Linked DNA regions of Rattus norvegicus. The protein of the gene in region 6 purifies or fractionates together with the protein of the main gene of each other region. This does not show direct contact. Links are inferred from orthologs where the notes say so. Each region holds a gene or a part of one and is shown on either strand. Other genes may lie near its edges. The genes, in order: Tcp11l2, Dnajb6, Irs4, Dnajb11, Hax1, Tuba1a and Dnaja1.

The links.
Region 1: the proteins of Tuba1a (region 6) and Tcp11l2 purify together in Homo sapiens (affinity purification with mass spectrometry; 3 studies listed by BioGRID and IntAct, counting the BioPlex papers as one, with this or other methods). This does not show direct contact. The link is inferred for Rattus norvegicus from reciprocal best matches to the Homo sapiens genes TUBA1A and TCP11L2.
Region 2: the proteins of Tuba1a (region 6) and Dnajb6 purify together in Homo sapiens (pull-down; 3 studies listed by BioGRID and IntAct, with this or other methods). This does not show direct contact. The link is inferred for Rattus norvegicus from reciprocal best matches to the Homo sapiens genes TUBA1A and DNAJB6.
Region 3: the proteins of Tuba1a (region 6) and Irs4 purify together in Homo sapiens (affinity purification with mass spectrometry; 3 studies listed by BioGRID and IntAct, with this or other methods). This does not show direct contact. The link is inferred for Rattus norvegicus from reciprocal best matches to the Homo sapiens genes TUBA1A and IRS4.
Region 4: the proteins of Tuba1a (region 6) and Dnajb11 purify together in Homo sapiens (affinity purification with mass spectrometry; 3 studies listed by BioGRID and IntAct, counting the BioPlex papers as one, with this or other methods). This does not show direct contact. The link is inferred for Rattus norvegicus from reciprocal best matches to the Homo sapiens genes TUBA1A and DNAJB11.
Region 5: the proteins of Tuba1a (region 6) and Hax1 purify together in Homo sapiens (affinity purification with mass spectrometry; 3 studies listed by BioGRID and IntAct, with this or other methods). This does not show direct contact. The link is inferred for Rattus norvegicus from reciprocal best matches to the Homo sapiens genes TUBA1A and HAX1.
Region 7: the proteins of Tuba1a (region 6) and Dnaja1 purify together in Homo sapiens (affinity purification with mass spectrometry; 3 studies listed by BioGRID and IntAct, with this or other methods). This does not show direct contact. The link is inferred for Rattus norvegicus from reciprocal best matches to the Homo sapiens genes TUBA1A and DNAJA1.

Annotation. Positions count from the first base shown.
Region 1 is NC_086025.1:21,061,882-21,066,099, forward strand, and holds the start of Tcp11l2 (T-complex protein 11-like protein 2), read right to left. Parts: upstream 2,801-4,218; 5' UTR 2,737-2,800; coding exon 2,580-2,736; intron 499-2,579; coding exon 363-498; intron 1-362. UniProt on the Homo sapiens protein: Promotes the migration of muscle-derived satellite cells (MDSCs) during differentiation throught interaction with FMNL2 and therefore may participate in microfilament assembly.
Region 2 is NC_086022.1:6,173,005-6,176,504, reverse strand, and holds part of Dnajb6 (dnaJ homolog subfamily B member 6), read left to right. Parts: intron 1-2,933; coding exon 2,934-3,230; coding exon of another isoform or gene 3,231-3,287; intron 3,288-3,500. UniProt on the Homo sapiens protein: Has a stimulatory effect on the ATPase activity of HSP70 in a dose-dependent and time-dependent manner and hence acts as a co-chaperone of HSP70. Plays an indispensable role in the organization of KRT8/KRT18 filaments.
Region 3 is NC_086039.1:110,145,674-110,149,904, forward strand, and holds the start of Irs4 (insulin receptor substrate 4), read right to left. Parts: upstream 2,801-4,231; 5' UTR 2,623-2,800; coding exon 1-2,622. UniProt on the Homo sapiens protein: Acts as an interface between multiple growth factor receptors possessing tyrosine kinase activity, such as insulin receptor, IGF1R and FGFR1, and a complex network of intracellular signaling molecules containing SH2 domains.
Region 4 is NC_086029.1:91,666,301-91,669,800, forward strand, and holds part of Dnajb11 (dnaJ homolog subfamily B member 11 precursor), read right to left. Parts: intron 791-3,500; coding exon 634-790; intron 1-633. UniProt on the Homo sapiens protein: As a co-chaperone for HSPA5 it is required for proper folding, trafficking or degradation of proteins.
Region 5 is NC_086020.1:177,732,543-177,736,546, forward strand, and holds the start of Hax1 (HCLS1-associated protein X-1), read right to left. Parts: upstream 2,801-4,004; 5' UTR 2,735-2,800; coding exon 2,682-2,734; intron 2,634-2,681; exon of another isoform or gene 2,481-2,633; coding exon of another isoform or gene 2,413-2,480; intron 2,197-2,412; coding exon 1,937-2,196; intron 1,771-1,936; coding exon 1,583-1,770; intron 449-1,582; coding exon 397-448; intron 268-396; coding exon 161-267; intron 1-160. UniProt on the Homo sapiens protein: Recruits the Arp2/3 complex to the cell cortex and regulates reorganization of the cortical actin cytoskeleton via its interaction with KCNC3 and the Arp2/3 complex. Slows down the rate of inactivation of KCNC3 channels. Promotes GNA13-mediated cell migration.
Region 6 is NC_086025.1:131,993,020-131,997,177, forward strand, and holds the start of Tuba1a (tubulin alpha-1A chain), read right to left. Parts: upstream 2,801-4,158; 5' UTR 2,735-2,800; coding exon 2,732-2,734; intron 978-2,731; coding exon 755-977; intron 624-754; coding exon 475-623; intron 310-474; coding exon 1-309. UniProt on the Homo sapiens protein: Tubulin is the major constituent of microtubules, a cylinder consisting of laterally associated linear protofilaments composed of alpha- and beta-tubulin heterodimers.
Region 7 is NC_086023.1:60,641,404-60,644,903, forward strand, and holds part of Dnaja1 (dnaJ homolog subfamily A member 1), read left to right. Parts: intron 1-1,127; coding exon 1,128-1,232; intron 1,233-2,986; coding exon 2,987-3,214; intron 3,215-3,500.

The DNA.
Region 1 (4,218 bases), about 110 Mb from region 6:
GTATATGTATATCTATGCAAAATACCCACATATATAAACATTTTAAAAAGTATTTTTTTGACAATAAGGAGTTGGTGGAGACTACAGTGAGGAGGTAATTGCAGTCTTGGAAGTTCAGGGACATCAAGACAACTCTTCTCAGAAAGTGACGTATAAACTGAGTTCTAAAGACTCTGGATAAACTTTTTAATAAACAAGAAGAAGACCTTGCAGGAGAGCTAAATAATATGTATGCTCTATGGATACTGTACATGAACTTCCAGGAAACATGATGCACAGATACGCACGCGCACACACACACACACTCAGGGAAGAAAGACAGACAGAATGCACAACATACACGCCACAGGCCTCTAGGTTACCTGTTCTCTGGGAGAGCGTTTGGCCTCAGCTGGAAGTTCTCGTTTACAGCTATTTCGTGAGCCAGAGTCATGTCTGATAAGTTCTTTGCTGCAGCCATCACGTCATCGAACATTATGCCCCGGGGAGGGCTTGTTGCTGAAAGAAAAATGATGTCAGCTATTGCGGTCACCCAAAGCCTCCCAGTGTTGTCAGGCCCATACACCCGTCAATCTCAGGGTTGTATAAAGGATGCACACTTTTAAAAGAGTGGGCTTGGTAACGATTTCAAATATGTCAGCACTTCTTCTGAAGCTTCAGTCGCCACATTTGATATTGAATTTTCAAATGTTCCTAAGACAAACTCTTAACACGGGCTGGTTGTAACTTCTCAGTGCTTATCGATATGCACCTATCTGTGTAAAACAGTACAAACAGTAGATTGATAGATACATAGGGCCAGATTCTTCCTCTATAGGCAGAGTAGCAAAAGCTGAAATCCCTTTCCGATTTCCGCCATGTGTTACTTGACTTCACTGACACATATGCGAGCCCTTATAGGTTCACTCTGAGGTGATTAAGACCGTTTTATTTTATTATTAGTTTTTTTTCTAAGACTGGGATCCTCTGCATATCCCCGGGTATCCTGGAACTCACTAGCCTTGAACTCAGAGATCCACCTGCTTCTGCCGCCCAAGTGCTGATGGTGAAGGTGTGTGCCACCACTACTGGGTGATTTAAGCAAGAACATACAAGAAACTCAGTACATGATTAAAGCAAACAAAATATATTTGAGAGGCTGCTGCATTACGTACTCAGTAGGACACTTGTAGAGAATTTGAGTTATTTCTAGATATCATTGTAAGAAATTGTTCTAAGTAATCAAGCTTACAAAACCACTGTTAGAAAAATCTCAGCTTCGGTTAATTAGAAATCATGACCTCAAAGAATGGCACAACAGGCAATGCCTCGCTTGTTTTAGGGGAGAAGGTGCCAAGGGGGAGTAAGATGAGAAAGGCAGATGATGCTGGGGGTTGGCAAGGCCTTCTTCAGCATGCCTAGGTACCATGACCCCATCTATAAACAGGCAAAACAAGATGGAAACTGGCTATCCAATGACAAGTCAGTAGGTAAGTGTCGGTCTATTTACTTTATGATGCAGTAGTGGTCATAAGGCCAGTGTTTAGGAAACAGTCTAGCATGTTTTGGGTACAGTGCTAAGGGCAAGCATCCAATGAGAAGCATGCGGATTTGGCAAAGTGCCAGCAGCTGGCATGTTTGGGTGACACTGCAGGCAATCCCCTCTTTCCTCTATACCACAGGTCTCCCGAATCTTAAACATGGAAACAAAAACATCTAAATCAACAGAACCGCTGAAGTGGGGATCTGATCTTACTAACATCAGGTGCTTTTCCCACCTTAGCTTTGCCAGTTTAAGATGTTATGGACTTTTAAGACAAAAATGCTGATTCAAAACTTAAAAAACAAACAAACAAACAAACAAAAGGCACAACCAGGCATATTGTTCACCCCTCCAACTGCAGCTCTCCGGGGGCTGAGGAGGAAACTGCCACAGGTTTAAAACCAGCCTGGGCTGCAGAGTGAAATTTTGTGGAAAGGAGGAAAAAAAAAAACAAAAACAAAAAAACCACACAAAAACTACCTACTTGAAACATCTGTGTCCACAGACACTAAATAAATAAATAAATAAATAAATAAATAAATAAATAAATAAGTTAGTAAGTAAGTAAGTGCCGGCCACTCTTCTAGCTTTCTCACAGCCCACAGTGGAGTAATTCTCCCTGCTGGTTCATCTGAGTAGGATTTGCACAACACTGAAATCAGCAGACAAGCCCTCTTCAGATTATTACACTTCCTGCCCACCCTTCCGGCAAGGCAAAATTTCCTTCCATGTGAAACAAGAAGGACCAATGCACAAGATAATCTCAAGAAGGGGTGTTTCTACCACTTAGGAGACAAGAAAGATAGGGCTAGGGGAGGGGGTTTTAGATCCATGCTCAAACCAAACAGGTTAGAGACAAGGCTCAAAATACAATGAGCAGGTTACAAACTTATCCCTAAGAACACACCAAGACTACCACAGTGCCTCTGACACACTATTCTGATGCATCTAGAAAGGATGGGGAAGTGTGTGATTTGCTCACAGCACTGCTGAGTTTTCAAAGCCATTGCACACAGAGCCAGCACCCAACCAACCCCACCTTGCTCCCGTTGCTTACAGGCAGGAGAGCTGGATTTGCTGGAGGAATCGCTGGTGAAGCTTTGTCTGGAACACCCGTAGTCACTGAGGGAAGCCGTACTTTCAGAGAAGCGAGAAGACTCTGAATCACTCTGTTGGTCCTCGTTCACATATTGCTTCTCACCGTTGAAAGGCATCCTTTATCACCTTGGGGATGGATGGATGGATGGATGGATGGATGGATGGATGGATGGATGGATGGATAGAGAGAGAAAGAGAGAGAGAGAGAGAGAAGAGAGGAGAGAGAGAGAGGAGAGAGAGAGAGAGAGAGAGAGAGAGAGAGAGAGGAGAGACACACAGAGAGAACCTGCACAGACAGAGAGACCCTGAATCAACATCATTCTGGGATACCTATTACACCTGCTTCCAACGTGCTTTTTCCAGCATGGATAATAATGCCCAAAGCTGTGACAATCTAGGTGGGAATTGTCCCCAACAAATTACCTCACCCTTCTAGAACCCTGAGCAAGACTTTTGCAAAATCACCCAGACTGCCTTCCACAAAAGGCGTGTTGAAGCCATATTCAGGGGAAATGTGGAGCAGCTCTAGGTGATAGCAGACCCTTCCGAAATGTACACTGTACACAAACAGGCTCTCCTAGGTTGCTGTGACGAAGCTCTAGTGGGCTCCTCAGTCAGACTCTATTCTGTTCTGGAGAAGTCACTTAACCACCTGACTCCATGGGGGAAACTGGGCTCCCAGACTGAACTTCCACAGCTTTGTGAAGACTGAAGAGGATTAACCTCATCACAGCATCAACTGTAGTAACTATTCTTTTTTTTTTTTTTTCCGTTCTTTTTTTTGGAGCTGGGGACCGAACCCAGGGCCTTGCGCTTCCTAGGCAAGCGCTCTACCACTGAGCTAAATCCCCAACCCCGTAGTAACTGTTCTTACTGCCTTGTTTGAAAGGAAGTAAGTTCAGCTGGTGACATGGCTCGGTGGGTAAGGGCACTAGGTGCCAAGCCAATGACCTGAATTCAACCCTGCTATGACAGGAGAAAACTAGTTCCACAAACTGTCCTCTGACCTCCCCCAAGTGCTGGTGGCATGCACAGATGTGAACACACAAACACAGGACATAGCTAGAGAATGGAAGTCTAAAAAACATTAAGGACGTTCAAACTCAAACTCTTGGTACGTTTGTGAGCCTGTCTCGGGAAGCAAAGGCTGATGAGATTTTGCGGGTCGCCAAGACTAGCTCCCCATTTTCATATGAACTATCGAAGCATGAAGACGAAGACTTGTTTGGTCTGTACTCACGAACTTGCTGAGCACCGAGGACCATAGGGTTCTGATGCATACTTGGAGGGACAAGGAGACTCACTGCACCATGGCGCCAGTCCCTGCACTCTAAAGTCAAGTGCTTTCTCTGGGACATTACATAGCATCCCAGGGAAGAAGTCATGCCTGGCACAATCTAGAAAGACCAAGGCACATGAATGCCAGGCCTGGGCCTGAGAGCACCAGTCAGGGCTATGAGGAAATTGGCTTTGCTATGAACCTAGCTATCAGCTGACTGCAAAAGCCAAATTTGCTCAAAGGAGACCCCTCCAACCCTGGATGGAGACTGAGGAATGAGGGAACTCCCTGCAGGGAGGGATGGGGTACTTTCACAAAG
Region 2 (3,500 bases), on a different chromosome or scaffold from region 6:
TCCTTCACCTGTTTTGTTGTGTTTTCCTGTAATTCTTTAAGGGATTTTTGTGTTTCCTCTTTAAGGGCTTCTACTTGTTTACCTATGTTGTCCTTATGTCTTTAGGGGAGTTATTTATTTCCTTCTTAAAGCTCTCTATCATCATCATAAGATGTGATTTTAAATCCAAATCTTGCTCTTTCAGTGTGTTTGAATATCCAGTATTTGCTTTGGTGGGCGAACTGGGTTCTGATGATACCAAGTAGTCTTGGTTTCTGTTGCTTAGGTTCCTGCGCTTGCCTCTCGCCATCAGGTTGCCTCTGATGTTAGCTTATCTTGCTGTCTCTGACAGTGGCTTGACCCTTTTGTAGGCCTGTGCATCAGCACTCTTGTAGACCTGTTTTCTTTCAGCCAGATCTGGAAACAGAGAGCTTCTCCTGTTTGTGTGACCTGAAGCCTCCAGGCAGGTTGGTTGGTGCAGAATAGTTGGTCTTACCTCTGCTCTTAGGTGTCTAGGCCCTCCTTGCGACTGTCTTTCAGCTTTTGGTGCAGGCATAAACCCAAGGGGTCCTGCCCTTGACTGCTGCTGGGTCCCTGTGCCCAGAGGGCACTGATGGCAATAAGGTGGGTCAGGAATGTGAGAAGAAAGTAGTCTCTGAGTTCTCAGAATTGTCCATCCTTCTGAGAGCCCAGCTCTCTCCCCCACAGGGTTTGGGTACCAGGAGCTATGTGACTGGTTCAGTTCAGTTCTGGGTGTAGGCAGAAACCTGCAGGTTCCTGCTGATGACTGCTCCTATATTCCTGTATCCAGAGGCCACTATACAGGTTCCTCTTGGGCCAGTAAGTGAGCAGAAGTGGTGGTCTCCCCTGAGGTATCAGAATTGTCTGCACTTTGGGAGTTCACCTCTCTCTCATAGGGGATTTGGGTGCAGGGAGCTATGGGATAAATTCTTGCTATGTCCAGAGTGGCTTCCAGTGCACTGTCATGCCCAGTGCATTATCAGTGCTGCAATCACAGCGTGTCTGATCATGCCTGGGGGGTTTTCAGGTATGGTTCTTTGTTCAGCAGAGAGTAGTCTGGCTTGGAGTCTGGGCTTCCTTCATGTGCTCAGTCTCTCCATAGTCTTGGAGTGACTGGCCAGCTGTGGGACACGGCAGGGATAGTTGACAATACCCCCAAGGCATCAAGTGAACATCATATTATCTTCCCATGTGCCATCATTTATATCATTCAGATTCTGAACCTTGTCACCATATGTCTACCATTACCACCTGAGTTGTCAGGAAATGTGTTCAGTTTGCAGCAGAGGTTGGGTTGTTTCAGGAACCCACATGGGCTGTTCTTACCCAAACAGTGTCTTTCCTCAGCAGTCTTTGAATACAGTGTCTCAGTCTGGTGCCTGAACATGGGGTGCATGGTAATTTCCTTTCCATGGCACCCTAGATCTCAGGTCTTGTTCTCATTCAGACATGTTTGCTGAACTTGAAAAGCTTGCTCATAACAGTTTTGCCCTCTGCAAATGTGTGTGGCTCCTCCGGATCCCCAGGCCTGTAGGATGGGTGAGAACAACAGGGGCACCTCTGGACAGGCTGTAGCTGCTGGCTTATCTTTGTGCATGGTTGGTTAAATGGGTGCAACATGGTGTGTGTAAGGCCTCTGATTCATTGAATGCCAGTAAATAGCCAGATGCCTTGGTGAAGCTTGCAAGCTCAGTGCTCTGGACTTGTGACGGGTGACCCTGTAGCCACAGGTGTGATCTATTACCCCAGTTGTCCTTCCTTCCTTCTTTCTTTCCTTCCTTCCTTCCTTCTTTCTTTCCTTCCTTCCTTCCTTCCTGCCTTCCTGCCTTCCTATCTTTATTTCATCTTTTGTTGTTTTGTTTTGAGACAGGGTTTCACTGTATAGCCCTCGCTATCTTGGAACTCACTTTGTAGAGCAGGTTGGCCTGCCTCTGCCTCTTGAGTGCTGAGACTAAAGGTGAGCGCCGTCATCTCCCAGCCGCATTACCCTGTTAAGATTCTGGCAGGTTCTGTTGTTACCTACCAGGCTTCTCCACAGGTCTGGCTCCTGCAGAACCTGGGTCTGTGGGAGATGTCCAGATGAGGGCTGCTTTAAATTGCTGACCACATTGCCTTGAGCAGGTGCCTCCCAGGGATGAAAGGGAGGGGGTGCATGTGGGGTGGTTGTACCTTTTTTTGGTTTACTACCAAAGAAAGGCAGCTCTTGAAAGTCTCTGGCTGAGTTGACACATAGGCTGCAATGGGTGGTTGCAGGGCAAAGGTTTATCCTGGGTGAGCTGAGTGTCAGAATAGAGTCACTGCCTCTAGTTTTATGCTTGGTATAAATGATAGCAGTGCTGTTACTCAGTTACAGAGAATGGGAGTTAACCCTTTAAGTGTTGCTTTCTTGTTCTATTTTCAGTATCCACCTAGTGTGGAAAACCTTGTTTCTGTTTTTCCAAAGATAACAGCCTTCTGAATGATGACGGGGTTGAGAGGTGTGATGAGCTGGCTGGCTGGGAAATTTCTGGGAGGACAGAGTAAGCACCTGAGGCTTCCGCAGGCCTGCTAAACCATTCTACTCTTGTGCAGAGGTGATGTGTCCTTGATTGCTGGCCTATGAACATGCTGGGCCTCTTTGCAGGGCTCAATTGTTGGGTTAGCAAGAACCATGCTAAGGTGTCTGCCAGACCTGTGCCTTGATTGATCTGCTGAGAGTCTGGATGATGGTAATAAGCAGAGAGAGTCCATTTCTCTGGTATTGTTTCTTTCCCACTGTGGGAAGAGAATGTTCAGGCCTAGTAGTGCATCAGAGGGAATGGGTAGTTTCTTTATAAATGTATGGTGGCTCTAGAGATGGAGCCATCTTTGGGGAAAGAAGGAAGGTGTGTGAAGCCTTTTGCTCCCAAGGGAGGGCTGAGGCTCACAGCTCTCCTGGTGTGCTGTGCTTTCAGGTGTGGCCGACGAGAACGCCCTTGCAGAAGAATGCCGGCGGAGAGGCCAACCCACACCAGCTCTGGCCCCTGGCCCGGCCCCAGCACCAGCCCGGGTCCCCTCTCAGGCCCGACCCCCGACCCCAGCTCCCACCCCAGCTCCAGCCCAGACTCCAGCCCCTTCTGTCAGCACCCGCCCACAGAAGCCACCCAGGCCTGCCCCAACGGCCAAACTTGTGTCTAAAAGCAACTGGGAAGATGAAGAGCAGGACAGGCAGCGGGTTCCTGGCAACTGTGATGCCCCTATGACCTCAGCAGGTGTGCAGAAGGGAGCTGGTGTGGAGCACCCCCAAAGTGTTTTGCCCCCAGATCCAGGTCAGCAAGCACAGAAGTCAGGCCTATGTTGCTGCATTCTGACCTGAGCGGGCATGGGGTAGGTGCCTGGCCTGCCGAGAAGGGACAGAGAGGATGGATACCTGTGTCCAGCTCCCCTCCCACAGCTGCTGTATGTATGGCCTAGCTGCGTGGCTCAAAGCCAGCCCCATGATTAAAACAGGGGTCCCAGTATTCTGATGTGTATGGAGTATG
Region 3 (4,231 bases), on a different chromosome or scaffold from region 6:
CCAGAATTCTGGCAGTCCTTGAGCAGAGGGAGCTAGCACAAGGTGCTCTCTCTTAACAAAGTCAATGTTGATATAGTCATTGGAGCTGTCAGCTTCTCTCTGCTCCTGTGTGGGGTTTAGTGGTCTGGGCTTTATTTTATTTCCTTTTGCAATAAAAGAAAGTCGGTTAGGTTCCTTAGCCTGGTTCATTGGGGGCACATCATCTGAAGGCCTTGCAGACGACCCCTTATCTTCAGGTTTTGAGAATGACCCCTCAGTTGAAGGCTTTGAAGCTACATCTTTGGTGCCCTGGCTAAAGGAGGCGTGTTTGTCTAGACTGCTCCCCAGGAATTTTCCAGGTAACATGGGAACATACTCGCTATGGTTACTCTGTCCCAAAGGCGAACTCTGGAAAGGACTTGGCAGAGAGAAGTAAGAGCTCCAGCTTTTGGAGGAAGAGCCTCCCTGGGGATTGGGGGGATTTTTAGGAATCGCACCTGCTCCAGGAGCCATAAACATGTAGTCACTGTCACTGTCATTGTCCTTTGAGTCATCCTCTTTATGAGTATCCGGCGCTTTCCGAGCACTTGGAGCAGGTGGTGGTGGGCTCACTCTGGGAAACATCATCATGTACCCTCTGGAGTCTTCAAAGGGCGACTTAGAGTGACGCTTGGTTGGAGCAGAGGAATTTTGAGGAGCCATTGGCATGTAATCGCTGGAACATGCAAGAGGAGCAGCCACCCCTGGCCTCATTGGCACATATGGGTCATCCTCATCTTCATAGAGAGCTCTGGCTCTGAGAGACCCCCGGGTTGTACCTTGTGAGGTCTCCATATTTCTCACCTCTTTGGCTTCTTTGCGTTCTTTTGTGCCTCTGTCTGCGCAAAAATAAAGTCGGAATCTCCCCCCAGACTTCCCTTTGCCACCAGTTGCTCCAGCTGCTGGCGGCGGCGGTGGGGGTGGAGGCAGCGTTTGCTGCTGCTGCTGCTGCTGCTTGCTTTGAGTGAATTTACCAAAGTAGGATCTTTTCTTCACAGATTTTCCACGGTCACCATCGTCAGAATTTTTCCCACTTCCTGAGCCTTTGCTACCTCCTGAGTTCTTGCCACCACCTGAGCCATGACCATCTCCGGGTCCCTGGCCACCACCTGAACCATGGCCACCTCCACCTGAGCCATGGCCACCTGCTGTGCCCTGGCCATTTCCTGAACGCTGGTTTCCTCCAGCACCCTGGCCTCCTGAGCCCTGGCCACCTCCAGATCCCTGTCTCCCACCTGAGCTCTGGCTACTGGAGCCTTGGCCACTTGAGCCCTGTCCACCTCCGGAGCCCCGGCCATTTCCTGAGCCCCAGTTGTTCATAGGCATGCAGGCACCTCCGTTTCCTTCCTCACCTTCCTTGTCTTTTTCTTCAGAGTTGCCAGAGCTGGAACCCGAGGCTTGACAAGCTCGGTGGTTGCGAGCATCTTCAGGCTGTCGGATACGTCCTGGGCTAGGTGCTGAGCGTCGGGGAAAGCTGGGAGGTACTGACACGGCTCTCCTGGACCTGCGGGCTCTGGGCAGGTGCCCCCTTCCTCGCTTGAAGGGAGGCGGAGGCTCTCTGGGTGCGATGAAGCGTCTGGTGAATAGCATGTCTTCCCTGTGGCAGATAGCCCTGAGGTGGCAAAACTGCTCAAAGCGGGATCTTCTGAACCAGCCGCCGGGCTCCAGCGGGAGCGAGCCCAGGTGCCTCCTAGTGGACAGCAGGGTTAACAGGTGGGCGCCAACACTGATGCTGTAGCTGCGGCAGCGGGCTCTGTATTCGTCTGCGCACAAGGCTCTCATCTTCTCCAGAAACAACTCATGCATGTTTTGGGCCACCACGGAGTCATCCACCTGCATCCACAGCTCCCCTGGACCGATGACAGTGGACCTGCCGACTTCCAAGAAGAAGTACTGCTCTGAGTGCCCACAGCGACGAATGCTCAGCAGCTGGACGACCACGCTGGCCACTTCGGTATTGAGCCTTACAAACACTACCTCTTCGTCGGTAAGACACAGCCGGAACACGCCGCTCAGCTCTTTTCTGTGCCCCAGCCCCCTGGGTTTCACTACTACCTGCCACACATCTTTGTAGAAGGGTGGCTCCGCCGCCGCTGCCGCCGCCAGGGCTGCCGGCTCCCCGTCCGGCTGCGCGCCTAGCGTGCCGCAGCGGCGGCGCTTGCTCTCGAGGATGAGGCGGCTGAGGAGCAAGTACCAGCTTTCTTGTTCCGACTCATTCTCGGCCACCATCGCGAAGTACTCGTCCTGGGTAAAGAGGGCAATGAGGTGTCGGTACCTGGCATCGGCGCGCTGGCTCACGGAGAAGCATTGGTACAGGATGATCACGCGCCGCGGTGGGATGAGCGCGGGGACCGCAGCACCGGAGGCGGCCGCGGCTGCGGCAGCCGCCGCGGCACGGACACTGAGCCGGAACTTCCTGGCATTTTGGTAGTATTCGAGCCGAGCCGGAGCGTCTTCGGTCTCGAGTTTGAGCACGAAGTAACGCCTCTGCCCATGCTTCTGCTTCCGCAGGTAGCCGCGTTTGCAGACTTCATCCCCGACGGGGAGGTCCTCCTCGTCGGACTCGGAGTCTGACCGGGAGCCAGTGGCTGGGGAGAGCCACATGGCTCCCGGACAGGACGACCCGGTCCCAATGAGTGCGGTCGGGGTTCCCGAGGAAAGAAGCGGGGTGGTCGCCACTGCTGCTAGAGCTGCGGAGGCTGCTGCTGCTGCGGCTCTCAGTCTCCTTAGCGCTTAGTCGCCAGCGAAGGAGCAACTCGCCATGGTGATGCACGGTGGTTTTAAGGTGAGCGGAGGGGAGGGGGGGCTCGAGAAGGGAGGGCTTCGGGGGAGAAGAGGCAGTTCTCCCCCTGTCTGCCCGCCCCAGACCCCTCCCGCCCAGGCCCGCGTCCCCGCCCACTTCACCGGGCTCACAGCAGTGGGCAAAACAACACGTGACCGTCGCCTCACGCGGCTGCTCGCACCAGAGGCAGCCCGCACCCCAGCACTGGAGGGGCGCAAGCGGCCACCAGTAGAGGTGTGCGTGGGATGGGAACCGGGAGCCAGGGAAGCAGGGCCATCTTCAAATCGGCAGACACCCTTCAGGTGAATCTAAGGGCCTTTGGTTCAAGGCAGAACCGACGGGAGGAGGCGGAGCTCTCTAACCACACCAAGCCCAGTCCGGAGTACCAGAAGGATGGGATGGAGGGTAGACGTGAGAGGTGGAGGACAGAACGGCCAGCCACTTGGGCAAGATGGGATGCCGCAGCAGCCCACACTCAGTTGGCGGGAGGGGGAATAGAGGTGTTGGGAGGGGACGGGGCTGGATGAGCACCGGATGGTTTGTTTGTTTATTTAGGAAGTGGAGGGGGGGAGCCAGGTGAAACTGCTGCAAGGTTCTGATTGGTTAGGATATGAGCCAATGGGAGGGTCAAGCAAGGGGGTGGCCCTGAATATATTAGTTTAGTGGAAGGGGGGAGTTGGGGGATGAGGGGGCGTGGTTGGGGTCCCAGAGTTGGGCTTCTCAATCTGCTTGTCTCTAGATCAGGCTGTAAACAACCCTCAGAAAATAGCTGTCAATGGTGGTGATAAATTCCTGCAAATCCCAGAGCCTGGTGACCCCTCTGCCAGGAGCCCTTTCTCTTTTTCCCTACAGCTCACAGTTTCCCTTCGATAACCGTTTGCTGTAGTTCCTCCCGATTCTCACTTTGAGCTGTGCTTCTCAAGAGAAAATGTCAGTTATCCCTGGAAACACGGTAAAGACCTGGGTCCTCAGACCTGCGGCACACCAGGCTGCACACCAGGCTGCACATGCCTCCTCGCCCTCTCCACCCCTGACAAAAGCCAACGACTCTAAAGACTCAGGAATTACGGCGATGCCTTCAAAATTAACGCTATCTGTACACAGAGTGAATTTCTAGTCCACGAAAACACAGATTTGCTAGATGTGGTGTTTCTATTTGATTGATGACGACTATAAAAGTACAAATTTGGGGGCCTGCGAAGTATACAGCCATGTTGGAAAAAGCCGGACTTGATTTTTTCTGAAAAACAATATTGAGCTGTCGTGATATTTTTTCTTGAGGGCAGTGTTTTGAACTGTACCTTTAAGGAACTAACAAATATTAACTTTCTTTTTTCCTTGAAGGAGATTGGGAAACTTTACAAAAAGAAAAGCTCCTATCTAGAACAAAGGACTGAATGAATGCATGCCCTTGAATATATTTTACATCCT
Region 4 (3,500 bases), on a different chromosome or scaffold from region 6:
GACCTTCCTAGTCTCAAAAACAAAACAAAAACAAAAACAAAAAAGCACATGTGCATTGTAAAGCACTGGAAGAAGTAAATGCAGACTCTTGGAAAGTATTTTTGAGTATCAGGTTTCTATGAAATAATGATAATATTCATGGGAACAGTACAAAATATGAAGTCAGTACCTCCTAAGAAATAAGATTTTATGTGTCATTTTAGGGGCCACCAACCCACTTTGGTTTACACACTGTCAGAGCGGAGGCAAGGGGATTGGGCCATTAAGATCACTTGCTTCTTTTGCACAGGACCTGGGTTTGGTTCCTAGCACCCGCACTAGGCAGCTCCCAATCGTCTCTAACCCCAGCAGGAGAGCTGATGCCTCCTTTAGCATCTGTGGGCACCCATGCACACCTGACACACACACGCACACACACACACGCACACACACACACACACACACACACACACACACACACACACACACAAACACACACACACACACACACAAATAAAAATGGAGTCTGTGGATAACAACTGCACAGTCCGGGAACGCCCAGTTCACTTATGTACTTTTGAACAGGAATGATCCGCGGGACTGGTCTTTCCCGCATCCGCGGTCAGCGTTCCCATTTTTGTTTTCACGACTCACCTCATAAGCAGCACCCAGATCCTGGAATTTCTCCTGGGCTTGGGGGTCGTCAGGGTTCCGGTCAGGGTGAAGCTGCAGGGCCAGTTTCCTGTAGGCCTTCTTAATATCCTTTATGGAGGCGCTTCGAGGCACTCCCAAGATCTTATAGAAATCCCGCCTGAGAGGATGGACAGGTAAGACTTCATTAGAGAGTTCTGTTATATTCTTTAATTTACCTTTTTACTCTCTGTACATATGTAACATTCTTTGGTCATTTTCACATGACTCCTTCACCCTTTCTCATGGCCCCACTCATACTGAGCCCTTCTTTCTTCCCAATAAGCCCCCCCTTCATATATTTTGTTTGTGACCCACTGAGCTGAATTAGGGAGACTTACATGAGTGTGGGTGGGGAGGTTTTTCCTGGAGCCTGGCAACTTACCAGGGCCTGCATCCCTAAAGAAAATGACTCCCCCCTCAACCCGGCAACCATTAACTATCAACAACTCTTCCCTTGGCAAGGAAGACGTGAATCTTTTTTTTTTTTAATTCATGTGTTTGTCCTAGCTATCTCTCTAGCTCCCTATTACATTAAGAGAAATTGCGTGTGTGTGTGTGTGTGTGTGTGTGTGTGTGTGTGCGCGCGCGCGCGCACCTGTGTACCACATGCAGATGCCTGTAGAAGCAGAAAAGAACCTTGGAAGTTGTGAGCTGCCTGATGTGGGTGCCGGAACTGAATGGAGTCCTCTGTAAGAACACACGTGCTCTTAACAGCTGAATTATCATCTCCCAGGGTGCATTACATTATCTCCCTTTGCAGTTAAGTCCAACTATAAAAGCACGGAAGGATAAAGACAAAGGAATATGTGACATGTGCACATATATAAAACAATGAACAAAAAAGGGACACGCCAGGATTTATAGTCTTAGGTACAGAAATAATCATAACGGGACTATGATTTGGAGGTAATTCAAAAATATGTACAGGACGGGCGGCACTCTTCTTTTAGAATTACCTTCCGCAGAGAAACTTTTCCTTTGCTTTATAGCTCCATGCTATTTCCAGCTAACAACCAAACAGTCCAATTGGCTCCCTCTTTACTCCCTATTCTTGCTCCAAATACTTTTTTAAAAGAGAATTTATTTTATTTTTAATTATGAGCTCATGTGTGGGTGTGAGTGCAGGTCCCTCGGTGTCAGTTAAAGCTGGCTCCCTGGATGTGTAGTTACAGGTGGCTGTGAGTCACCGCGTGGGTGCTGGGGTCCTCCACTAAGAGCAGCAAGAGCCCTTACCTGCTGAGCCTTCTCTCCAGCCCCACCCCAGTGACTTTTACCTGTTTCTAAGGGTCAAATGATTAAAAAAGAAAGTTATCCTTATTCACAAAGATTACATCACATACATGTCCTAAATAGAAGCACTTTTGGACATTAAAGATGGACTGGCCTAAGGAGTTCATAAAGATTAAGCAAACTCCAAATAATAAACCTGAAGGGAAAATAGCACACATCTGGATGCAATGATTATGGTATATGCTGGGAGAAAAATACATTTTATGCATTCATTGCCAGTAACTATGCTAATCTGTTAGGATCAAGTCTTTATGACAGACATCTTCTAAAGTCCACACGCAGGAGCCTCTGTATCACTGTAGTTGAGAATATTCATATGATATAAATTAGGGCATAAAATAAGGGAATATTGCCAGGAGCTATGCTGAATCAACCATAAAAGGGTTCTTTCTCTGCAAGAAGTGTTGGGAGAAAGCTAGAGTGAGACTATAAAAAGCATTCCAGGCAAGGGCCGTACCCAGCTCATTGAAGAGGCCAGTAAATGCCCTCTGAGTAAGGTGAACATATAAGAATGCTCACATCTCTTTTTGCCAGAAGTTCAACCACTAGAATTCAAACCTAAAACTAGAATAGAACCTAAAAATATTATCTCAACAATGGGGCTAGGGAACTCATATAATAGAGGCTGACATAGCATGGCGGATAATTTAAAAATGTATGGGGAAATGAACCGGGAGCCAAGACATAAGGCAGAATATTAAAAAATACATTTTATGGCTGGCACGTGGCTCAGTGACAGTGCCTGCTTTAAATCCATGAAGTCCTGGATTCCTGATGTCGCATGCCTATAATTCCAGCACTCAGAAGGTTGGGGTTATTTCATAAACTCCTGGTCACACTTTCCAACAGTAATTTAGTTATTTTAATCACTCTGTTAGGTTTCTGGGTTGGTTTTCTTAGACAGGTCCTCATGTAGCTCAGACTGGCCTTGAACTCACTATGTATCTGAAGTTTGTTTTGAACTCCTGATCTTCCCGCCTCTACCTCTCAAATGCTGAATTTACAGACATATAAAGTCATATTCAGCTCACCTATACACAAGTTTTTGTTTTTTCCAATACAGGGTTTTTCTGTTGTCCCGCCTGTCCTGGAATTCACTCTGTAGACTAGGCTGGCCTCAAACTAGAGATCTGCCTGCCTCAGCCTCCCACGTGCTGGGTCCCAGCTCAACTACAGCATTTTTAACATTTATCACCCCCAGGAAGTCGACCTCATCTCTAAAGTCTTGACATCTCATGCTAGGAATCAGCCTTCTAATGACAAAAACGGCTAACAACACAGAGTGAGGCTCACACAACACTCCAATTCTGGAGAGGAGTGGGTTACACGAAACTAAGGATGTTAAAAGAATCCAATTAAAGGAGAGCCACTACTTTTCAAGCTGATTCAAAACCTACATAAAACCCCCCACCCCCACCCCCACCCCACCCCCACCCCAAGGTTCCTATTTCTCTTACAGGGGAGCTGAATCCAGCTTTCAGCACGCATGGTGACTTGCATGCAATTGAAACTCCAGATCCAGGGAAGTTAACACCCTT
Region 5 (4,004 bases), on a different chromosome or scaffold from region 6:
AGCGCTCTACCACTGAGCTAAATCCCCAACCCCATCTGGACAGTTTTTTAAAAAACATCTCTCTCTTCGGTCCCCAGCTCCGAAAAAAAGAAAAGAGAAAAAAACAAAAACAAAACAAAACAAACAAACAAAAAAACCCAAAACTTCTCTCTCAACTCACCCCATCTGGCTTAGTGATCTTGGTCACAGAGATGCTTTTGAAATAGGATTTAGGCTGGGGTTGAAGAAGTGGACCCAGACCTTCCTGGGAAACCTGGGAGTCAAGATCTGGAAGGGCAGAAAGATGACAAGCCAGGATAGAGTGGAGGGAAGAAAATTAGACAAGTGTTTCAGGAAGAAACTTCTGAGAGAACTTCAGGACAATGGCATGGTAAATGTGCTTCCCTCTAGACTCACCCTTGTCCTCTCTGGCTCTAGAATGGGGACTCACAGGCCATGTATCATCCAACTGTAGAAGAAGTCACACACAATCAGTGAAAAGACACCTTTTAATCTTAAACTTACAGGTCAGAGAACCCATATTCCTCACTAGCTCCAAAACCCCAGAAATACTTCTATCTGGGTAGTTTGTGTTCACACACCTTCTTCCTCAGGTTTATATGGACTTCAGTCAAAAAGAATTCCTGAAATTTTTTCCTGCGCTTTTAAGATTCTTTCTTAACCAAGAATTGAAACTAGTAATTAAAAAAAAAAAAAAAGCACAATATTTCCATTTTCCCCTTTATAGTCTATTCTAGGTTCCAATACTGCAAAAAGAAAACAGAAGCAATGGGGTTGGGAAGAAGGCTCACAGATTAAGAACACTTCTGCTCTTTTAGGACATCAAGCAGCTGAGAGTTCCAGGGGATTCAACACCTCATCATTGCAAGCACCCGCACCCACACAATAATACAAACTCACACAGGCATGCGTGCACACGTACACGTGCACACGTACACGTACACACACGTACACACACACACACACACACACACACACACACACTCTCTCTCTCACTCTAAATTTAAAAGACAACAAATAACAGCAACAGAACCCTAACTAACAAACTCAGAGGCAGGTGGACCCCTGAGTGAGGTCAGCATGGTCTACATAGCAAGTTCTACATCAGCCAATACTAGAGACCCTGCCTCAAAATACACAAACAAACAAATAAATAAATAAATAAAATATGAGGAGAGGGAGAAGACATTCTTGCAGAAGACCACAGTTCCCAGCAAGAGCATGGTGGCTCATAATCATACATAACTTGAGTTCCAGGGACACAATATCCTTTTATGACCTCTGTGGGCACAAGGTACATATGGTACAGAGACATTCAAGCAGGCAAAATACTCGTGTGTGTGTGTGTGTGTGTGTGTGTGTGTGTGTGTGTGTGTGTTTAGGCTAGGTGTGGTGGCACACATTTAATCCAGAGGCAAAGGCAGGCAGATCTCTAAATCTACACAGTGAAGTGTTTCAAAACAAAAATCCCAATAAGGAATAAAATCCAGATAAATGCACTAATCAGATGGGCTAAATTTTCAACTCCACTCCAAGAGATTCCAATATATAAGGGTTTACAGTTCAGGTGCAGAGTACTCACCCTATGAAAAGGTCCCTGGGACCCCCAATCTGGAGCTGGTTTGGAGGATTCAGGTTTTGCATGACTCTCCAAGACCCCCTCAAAGATCCTGGGTTGGTGACTATCTGGGTACTTAAGCATTGAGTCACGAAGTGTCTGCCCCTCTCGCAATCTCACACCAGGTGTTTCTGACTCAGGACCTGGAAGTTCTGTAGAAAGTTGGTAGGTGATTCTGGGATAGGAAAGGCCTTAAAACATTTTAAATCTTTTTAAAATCAGTTTCTGCACACTATCCATCACCAACTACTCTGCAAGTTCTGTTATCCATCACTAACCCACTAGAAACCCAGCTCTCCCTCAGGGAAATTAACACACCAGGAGAGTGGGAAGGCAAGGTCCAGGCCCCCATCTCGCTGAAGATGCTATTAAAATCTCGAACTAGATCATCAAAGCCAAAGTTGCCATGGAATCGCATCCCTCCTCTGGGGCTGAAGCTGAAACCGAATTCCTCTGTAGGGTGAAAACCATCAAACGCATAGCTCTCTCGACCCCACGCACCACTGTCTTCCTCCTCTTCGTCGTCTTCATCATCGTCATCATCTCGAGTCATCCCTCCAAAAAAAGGATCTCTGTGGCTGAGAATGGAGGCAGATAAACCACGAAGACTTTAACACTGTCTAAACCCAAGGGCAGCAAAACGGTCCAAAGAGGAGATCTGGTTTTAAAACAACGCTGATGGATCTACTAGGTTTTTTAATTGTTTCTAAGCAGAGCTTCTCCGCACCTCCCAACAGCTCCCAAACGACACCCCATGGTGTTCCTTCAGGGTCATCCTGCCCACTACTAATCACCCAATGACTTGCTCACGGTCCTCTTTCCCAGACCCCCATTGTTTTCTCCGCTCAGGTCCCTGTTGCATCACCCCAGTCTGGAGAAAGGTGCCGTTTCTGTCCTCTTAACCAACGCTTTGATTACTGTGGCGGGTGAGTACTCAAGAATGCGATCTTTGACCTCTCAGCAAGAGTTAAAGGGGGCGGGAAAGGAAACTTTCCAAAAATATGAAGGGGTCAAGTGTCCACCAAAACACCCTCCCTTAAGTCCAGCCCAGGACTATTCTCACCTCCGAGGTCCAGGGAAGCCGAAAAAGCCTCGGAAAAGATCAAAGACGCTCATTCCCGTAGGGGTACTAGAAACTTTGAAACTCTGCAGCCCATGGGCAACACGAGACCACCAGTTTACGCTACCCTGTCGGATATAGCCAAGGCTTAGCGTTCGCTGCCGGAAAGCAAGCCTACGATGCGGCACTGTCGTAAAAGCTGTAACTCGGAGGAGGAAGAGGCGGGGCTGACGGCGCTCCTCAGACACGAAGCTTCTATACGCTACCTTTCAGTTTTGAGTGGGGGTGGACGTGCGAAATTCCCACTGTCCAAGGATCACATCCCTTCTAGGTGATTCTTCTTCCTGCCGATCTGCCAGACCCCAAGACGTGTTTCCGTTTCTCTCTGGAGGGTCTCAGGTAGCCGCCAGAGGGAGTGGCCTGTTCACTCAGAGGCCTGCTTCCCCCAGGATCAGAAAACACATCCCACCTCGTGTTTTGTTTCTAGACTGACGGTGACGCCTCCCACCTTGTGTTTTGTTTCTAGAATGATGTCGGTGACGTCTAATACTAGGTTAGGCAAAGTGTTTTACCAAGATACTTACACCGCGACTTCCCTACTGCTGAATAAAGATGATAGGAATCTCTTCAGCTAGTACGGAGTTTTTAAACTTTTTCCGCCCCCCCACCCCCCCCCCGACCCAGGGTTCCTGTGTGTAGGTAGCTCTGGCTGTCCTAGAACTCAATTGCAGACCAAGGGGGCTATAAACTCATGAGACCCGCCTGCCTATGCCTCCCAAGTGCTGGGATTAAAGGAGGTTGCCACCAAACACTACTATTTTTAAAAAACTAAACAGATGGCAACCAGCAACGTAAGATTTGTAGACTAGGCAGGAATGAGAAGCTACTCAAGCATGTCTTGGAAAGACTGTGCCGTTATGAAATTTGACGGTGTTTTTGTCTAACCCACTCGGGAGGTAGAGGCAGGCGGATCTCTGCTCCACACACCTGAGTTTCAGGCAAGCCAGAGCTACAGTGAGGCTCTGACTCAAAATATAGAGACCCCCACCCGCTTCATACACCAACGCAGAGATACTTGCAGTTTTAGAAGGCTGAAACAGGATCCCAGTTCTTGGCAATATGGCTTTTATAAAGAAAAATGAAACTTTTTTTTCCATGTCCAAAACCTTTTACTGCACCATGTCCCCACCCCAGGTCTTGCTCTACCATCATCCACTCCTTTCCCAAAACTTAGGCATTTCAAAGTCACATAAAAAAGGCAAGGTAAGGTATAGTGCTGAGAACCTTTAACCTTGGCACTCAAGAGGTAGAGGCAGGTAGATCTCT
Region 6 (4,158 bases):
GTTTAAGTTAGTGTAGGTTGGGCGCTCAATGTCGAGGTTTCTACGACAGATGTCATAGATGGCCTCATTGTCTACCATGAAGGCACAATCAGAGTGCTCCAGGGTGGTGTGGGTGGTGAGGATGGAATTGTAGGGCTCAACCACAGCAGTGGAAACCTGGGGGGCTGGGTAAATGGAGAACTCCAGCTTGGACTTCTTTCCGTAGTCGACAGAGAGCCGCTCCATCAGCAGGGAGGTGAACCCAGAGCCAGTTCCCCCACCAAAGCTGTGGAAAACCAAGAAGCCCTGGAGACCCGTGCACTGGTCAGCCTGTGGGAGAAAAGGACATATAATGTCTTATTACCAGGGCATACACTATTTCAATTCCTTTAGACTGTGAGCCATCTCTACCTGATAGGAAAGACCTGACACATTTTGACAGATACCAAGACACCCTCCCACTGCATTTTAAACCCATCCACATAGGGCATTTACCAGCTTGCGAATTCTGTCCAAGACAAGGTCAATGATCTCCTTGCCAATGGTGTAGTGGCCACGGGCATAGTTATTGGCAGCATCTTCCTTGCCTGTGATGAGCTGCTCTGGGTGGAAGAGCTGGCGGTAGGTGCCAGTGCGAACTTCATCTGAAAAAGGAGAAGACATCAGCCATCACCACCAAGGACCCCACAAGCTCACTCACCCTTCCGGGTCTGGAGAGACATTCTGAGTATGTGACCAAGAAGGACTGCCCCAGGGAAGCCCCCAGTCCACTTACCAATAACTGTGGGTTCCAGGTCTACGAACACCGCCCGGGGCACGTGCTTGCCAGCTCCTGTCTCACTGAAGAAGGTGTTGAAGGAGTCATCTCCTCCCCCAATGGTCTTGTCGCTTGGCATCTGGCCATCAGGCTGGATGCCATGTTCCAGGCAGTAGAGCTCCCAGCAGGCATTGCCGATCTGGACACCAGCCTGGCCGACGTGGATGGAGATACACTCACGCTGTGGAAAGGGGGAAAAAATATCATAAAATTAAGTTGTTGTAATATTAAGCTGTACTTCTATTTTAGATTTTAATAGATTTCTAAAGTGTTTCTAAAAATACAAACATTGTTTAAATTTATTTAGTGTCATATCCCTAATATGACAGACACAATGAGGAAGGAGTACCCACTACCAATACTGAAAGTGGGTGTGGCCTCAATGTCACCTTAGTACTGCTTAAGACATGGTGCCAACCCATTGTTCCCATAGCAGTGTTTGAATAGAAGTCTTCATATTTGAAAAATATTCAAAACATAGATTCTGTAAAATGAAATAATTACCCGAAATTACATTAATTGCTTCTTTTCTTGTTAAGTAAGGATGAAGGTTTCATCCTACAGGACCTGGTATTTCAACGTGGACATCTGCAGTGCGGCTGAGGCCAGCAGCCACACCCTTCTGTGGACCCCATTAGTACTCTGGCTAAGCTGCAAGCTAGACCGAGTCTCACAAAGTTTAAGGTTTCATCCTATAGGACCTGGTATTTCAATGTGGACATCTGCAGTGCGGCTGAGGCCAGCAGCCACACCCTTCTGTGGGCCCGGTCAGTACTAGGCTAGGTTACCTGCTATTGAGTCTGACTTCTGCATTGCCGCGTTCTCTGTGCCTGGCTCTAGCCTGTGGTCTGTTACATTATTTAACAGAGAAAGCTCTATTTCCAGAAGCTGTCTACGTGATCTCTTTGTGCAGCTTTCTGCGTGCCTCCCAACCCTGCCTGGGGCCATCTGCCTGAATTAATGAATGAGTGTCATATATTAGAACAAAAGGCAGTCGGGTGCAGAGTATCATTTTTTTTTTCTTTGCAGCAGAATCATTATGGTTTTTGAAGGTTTTCTATTGGATGGGACGGAAACATTCTTAAAGCAGGCTAAGTTAGAAACACAGTGCACACAATTAGTGCCAACAATTAAAAAAAAAACAAGTGAAAAGATAACTAATATTTAAAAGTAGAAAATAGTATTTTTATCCGATGAATCTCTACATACAACATAATAAACCACTATTCTATAGAGAGAGACACTTCTGCCTTGGAGGGACAACTTTCATTGTCTGCGGGGGTTGGGGGCGGGGAAGGGCGTTTCCCTGGGTTCTGACCGTCAGCTACTCGGGCTTCACAAAGTGGGCTTTGTCATTCCCAACCATCCAGCTCCCCTCCCCCCACCCAGCGAGATGGCCCCGTGGAGCATCTCGTAAGACTACAATTCCCCAACGATTCTTTTTAAAAATAAAAATTAATAATAATAATAATAAAAAACCCAGCTCGGGAGTGAGGCTTAGTGAGAGCGAACCCCTCCCAAAACGCCACGGAAGCAAGAGACAAACAACCCCGCCCCTGCGCCTCCCTGACAGCGGCTGCCATGGATCCCAGGCAAACTATTTTCCCAGCGAGTTAGGGCGGCGTTTCTGGAGTGCGGGCTCGGCCGCCGCCCTGCCCTCCTGCTGCAGCAGACCCTGCGGCACCCTCCCTCTCCCCCGCCGGTCCCCTGTGGTCCCGGGCTCTGCCAGCAATCGCTCGCCGGCGCAGCCTTTGTTCTTCCCGGTCTGGGCGTTTCCGTGTCCCGCACTGCGGCGGCGGGACTCACGGACTAAGCTAAACTTAAAGCATCCAGACCACCCTTCCCCGCAGAGATGACAAAAGGCTTAGGCGTCTCCTTGCAGACTGAGCCGGCTGACACCCACCCGCTCCTGAGAGCCCGGGAAGGTTTGCTCACCATGGTTGCTGCTTCGCGGCTGCCGGGTGGATGGCGGAGGCGAGGAGGAGGTGTTGCTTCTTACAGCGCGACTCTTAAGCGGTCGATGTAAGAGAACCTGCGGCACTTGGGCGGATGCGCCTCCTTATATACAGCTCGGTCACCATGGGGATGGGCCAAGGCCTTTTCCTGTTGGTCCAGACCCCTCCGTCTGCCCAGAGAAGCCGCGACAGGAGAGTGGTGATTGGTGCAAGCGACATGGTATGAGGTAATCTCTCCCCCCTTCCCCCCCTCGCTAGCATCCGTAGATTTTGCATCCTTCAGACAAAGGCCTCGCAAAAGCAACTAGCCGAGCATCCATTATGGGGTGGAGCTGGGGAGGGGTAGAGAGGGAAGAAAGAAAACGGGGGTTGGGTGATTATACGGAGCTTAAACCTTAAACTGTAGTTAGGATAATTTAAGGTTTTCCCCAACACTTAATCACAGAATTTGTGTTGAGATTCTTTATGGTAAATTCCAGCTTTTCATTTATACTACACTAAATTTAAATACGTTCCGTCAGGATTCAACATCTCTGTTCGCTTTAAATAAAGTAGCAAGAGCTATGGGAATGATGGTCAAAAAGGCGTGGGTAAATGTTTAGTTTTACAGTTGTATTATTGTGGTTATTATTATTATTACTATTATTATTAATATTTGAGCAAAATTCAGAAGCTCAGTATGAATAGACCACGCCTATGACCCTCAACAGCACCTGGGAGGCAGAGGCAGGAAGACTTGCAGCTCAAGGTCATCATAACCGCCCTTAGTGGTTTATGCCTGTAAATCCCAGCATTGGGAAGCGGAGGACTGCGGTTATTTTGTACCCGGCCTGGATATATAGTGTGATATCCTGTCTCAAAAACCAAAAACAAACAAAGAGAGAGAGAGAGAGAAAGGAAAAAAGAGAAACAATATACAAAGTAGTACTTAACGCTTTACTAGAGAGCTTGCTTTCTTTAGCGGTAGTGCTCTCCCATCACCCCTCCCCGCTCGCCCCCTTACCCGACCCTACCTCACCCCAGAGCCTGTGTTATTTTGTCCCTAGAAATGAGCCATCCCTTCTAATACGGAATTCAGAAACTGTAAGGAGAAAGGAGTGAGTTTAAAAACGAGCTCTTTGTGTGGGCTTGTATTTCTCCAGCGCTCCTTTTTTTTGAGGGGGAGGGGGTGATACCAAGTAAAAAATAGCTGAGATGCCAAATTAAAAAGAGGAGAGTATTATAATATAAAAAGGAAACCATTTTTGCGATGTTGTTTTCATCCCCAGACAACTGTGCAGTGCCAGCCCTGTGCAGTTTTGTGTAGTTCCCTGAATTCCGTAAATAGCCCCTTTCCGCAGCTGGGCTTCTTTCTGACTGTGGGAACTGTAGAGGCTCGCCCCACTGCTACTGTGGTCGTTGCTCAAT
Region 7 (3,500 bases), on a different chromosome or scaffold from region 6:
ATGACTAAACCTTTTTGGCTTAGATCAGTTTGAGGGGTTTTGTTAACTTGTTGCTGCTTTGGAAAATGTACTTGGTCATTTTCCAGAAGCTTTATTTTTCCTTTCTTGTATTCAGTATAAAGTTGAGAAAGCTCTAACTTTCAATTTGAGAACCTACATGCTTACATGTTCTCTTTATGATAATAAAAATACAAAGTGAAGCTAGAAGCACAATGTAGTGAGACTTTTAATAACCTCATTTAAAGAGTAAATATTTTTTTACGTATGATATTCAGAAAGGATTGGAACTTTATTTAGTAGTTAGGCAATGTTGATAGCGGTGGATAAAGTCCTAGTGGAAGGATCACTAGCTAGGAACTTATTAACCGTTGGTGGGTGATTTCATTTTTGTAACCAGGTTGTCCTTATGTGATCTCAACCAACCTACTTCCTGTTGTAGCTAATTATATGTGGCAATCTTTTGTCACTAGCCAGATAGGGGTCTTCAAGTTGAGTTAATTTAGAGGGGGGGGAAATTCTGTCCAGCTATAGTAGCCACCACACTTAAAATTGTATCTAGTAATTATGATTAGTGATTACAGTATTATACAAATAAAATGTGTCCATCATTACAGAAAGTTCTGTTGGACAATATTATAACAAAAGGCCTGGGTAATTTGAGACACCAATGTTAGCCTAGCAGTAAAAACTATTGAAACAGAAATAGAAATTGCTATTTCAGTAGTGTCTCTATTGGCTTCTCTGGCCAATCTTGATTAGAAAGAATTTACTGTGCTAAAGAATGTTTGGATTAAGTAACTGGCCATGTTGCTTAATAATGCCTAACAAGTAAAACTTTCAAAGGGATACATGCTTTGCATTGTGAAATGTGCCTGAACATTGACTTTTAAGGGTAGTATTTTAATTGCTGGATTTCTAAGAGGGTCTCTTGTGTTGATGAACTGCTCAGTTTTCTCATCTATGATTAGGTAAGCTTGAGAATCAAGTGATTGGAGGAATGTTGTGAGTATAGTTCAAAAAGATATGTAGCATGAGGCTGGTCTTCCATTATCTTTTGCCATTTTTATAGTGCCTTCAACAATGAAACGTTACAGATGGGTATTTAATGAGCAATGTTTTTATTCTAGGTAAAAATGTCGTGCATCAGCTCTCAGTGACCTTAGAAGACTTATATAATGGTGCAACAAGGAAACTGGCTCTGCAAAAAAATGTGATTTGTGACAAATGTGAAGGTAAGGGTTCTTAAGTGTGCTGAGTTGTTGTTAGTGGGGTTGTTGATGGTTTTTGAGAATAGGTTTTTGTAGGTTTGTTCCCCCCCCCCCCCCCAGCTGGGGACCGAACCCAGGGCCTTGCGCTTCCTAGGGCAAGCACTCTACCACTGAGCTAAATCCCCAACCCCAGTTTTTGTAGATTTAAGCTGGCTTTATCTTTTCTTCCTCAAATTTCTGAGCCACAGGGATTACCCCATACCTACCTAACTTCTAAAACTGAAATGCAACACTAAAAGCAGCTGAATCTTCTACCAAGAGAAACACAATGACTTTGTTGTGACATTTTCATGCCTGTATATAATTTTCATCATTGCTCTCTTCTCCAACTCCTCTTCCTTACATTCCTCTGTGTGCCTGTGGTTTGATGGCCCAGTGAGTCCTATTAGAGTTGTTTACAGGAATGGGGAAGGACTGTTCCCCAAAGGACAGGCACCACAATCAGTTAGCTACATGTAGAAGAAAATGTCTCTTCAGGGATGAGGCCTGGTCATCTGCTCCTTCCTTTATGACAAGATGTTGATGGGCCTAATCCTGTGTAGATCCTAACACTTTTTTTAAACAACACTTTGTACATTTTATATGTATGTTGTGTTTGTGTGGGATGTCAGAAAACTTGCAGTAACTAGTTTTTCTTCAACCATGCATGCATTAAAAATCAAACTGGGGTTGGTTAGACTTGGTGGCAAGTATTTTTCAAACTCTGATCTGTCTCAGTGGCACTAAATTAGCATCTTTTTGAAATTAATACTTAAGTTTTGTTTTTCATTTGTTATTGTTGGTTGGTTGGTCATCCAGGCTTCTGTCTCTAGTTCCTGAGTGCCTCCTAGTGTTAAATGTACAGTGTATACTACAGCATTTTGTCTACCCTTTTTTTTTTTTAAAGAAAAAAAAAGGATGGTCCTGATTCCAGGCATGTTTTAGATCTCTTATGAGATCGGCAAAACCTTGTCTCAAAAAAATTGTGCTGTGGGAACACATAATGTAAGATTGTGGTACAGGCTGTCTTGGAGTTACTGCTCATCTCACTACTCCCTTAAAGTGTTCTGAAAGTGAAATTCACTGTTAAGACCGCCCACTTCTTGAAGCTGACTAAAAAGGCTTGACACTCCATAACACCTGTCCCTTGTTTTGCTTTCCTGTGTGTTTATCTATGTACTGCTGCATGCAGTACCTGTGGAAGCCAGAAGTTCAGATCCCTCTGGAACTGGAGTTAAAGAGGATGTTTGTGAGCCACTATGTGGGTGCTGAGGAACAACCCCAGGCCCTCTGGAAAAGCAGCCAATCTTAATCCTTTAAATCAGTGAGGCATTTCTTTACAACTTGCCCTTCCCTTCCTATATCATCATCATCATCATCATCATCATCCACCTCCCCTCCCCCATCTGTGCCAAAAATCCTAAGAGTGGTGCTCTGACATCCTTTATCTAAAGACACACCTTCCCTTCACCCCACTCTCCAACACATGCAACTGCTTTTGCTGACCCATGTGTCTTGTTTAAACTAATTCAAGAGGAAGACCTCTCACCCTCCTCTTGACAATTGCTGAGATTCATAGCTTGCCTTTGTTTGCTTTTTCTCTCAAACTTCCAAAGAAGAATATTAATTTATCTGAATTGTACATTTTAGGATATCAGTCCATAAGGCCTTAAATACTGCGGCATTAGATTCTTGGTTACTGCTAAGTTAATGTATAAGTTTCTTTTAAAACTGTCTAGGCCGAGGTGGTAAGAAAGGAGCAGTAGAGTGCTGTCCCAACTGCCGGGGGACTGGCATGCAGATCAGGATTCATCAGATTGGACCAGGAATGGTTCAGCAAATTCAGTCAGTGTGCATGGAGTGCCAGGGTCATGGAGAACGCATCAGTCCTAAAGACAGATGTAAAAGCTGCAATGGAAGAAAGATAGTTCGAGAGAAGAAAATTTTAGAAGTTCATATTGATAAAGGTGAGTACTGATCCACTCTAGTCTGAATCATGTGTTTTATTCTGACTGTTTGATTCATAATGTGTATTTTGGTTTTTTGGTGTTTTTTTTGTTTTGTTTTGTTTTTTTTTTCTTTTTTAACCTTCATTACCTTTTGTACCACTTCCTTTTAAATTCTTTGCAAATTTATCATTTCGTGGTAGAGGTTTTTGTGATGTAATGTTTAATTAGGATTGCTTGCATGAGTGGGGATTATTTACTGGAACATGTACAATTTAACAGTGGCTATAGGATTTAAGAAAAGGGC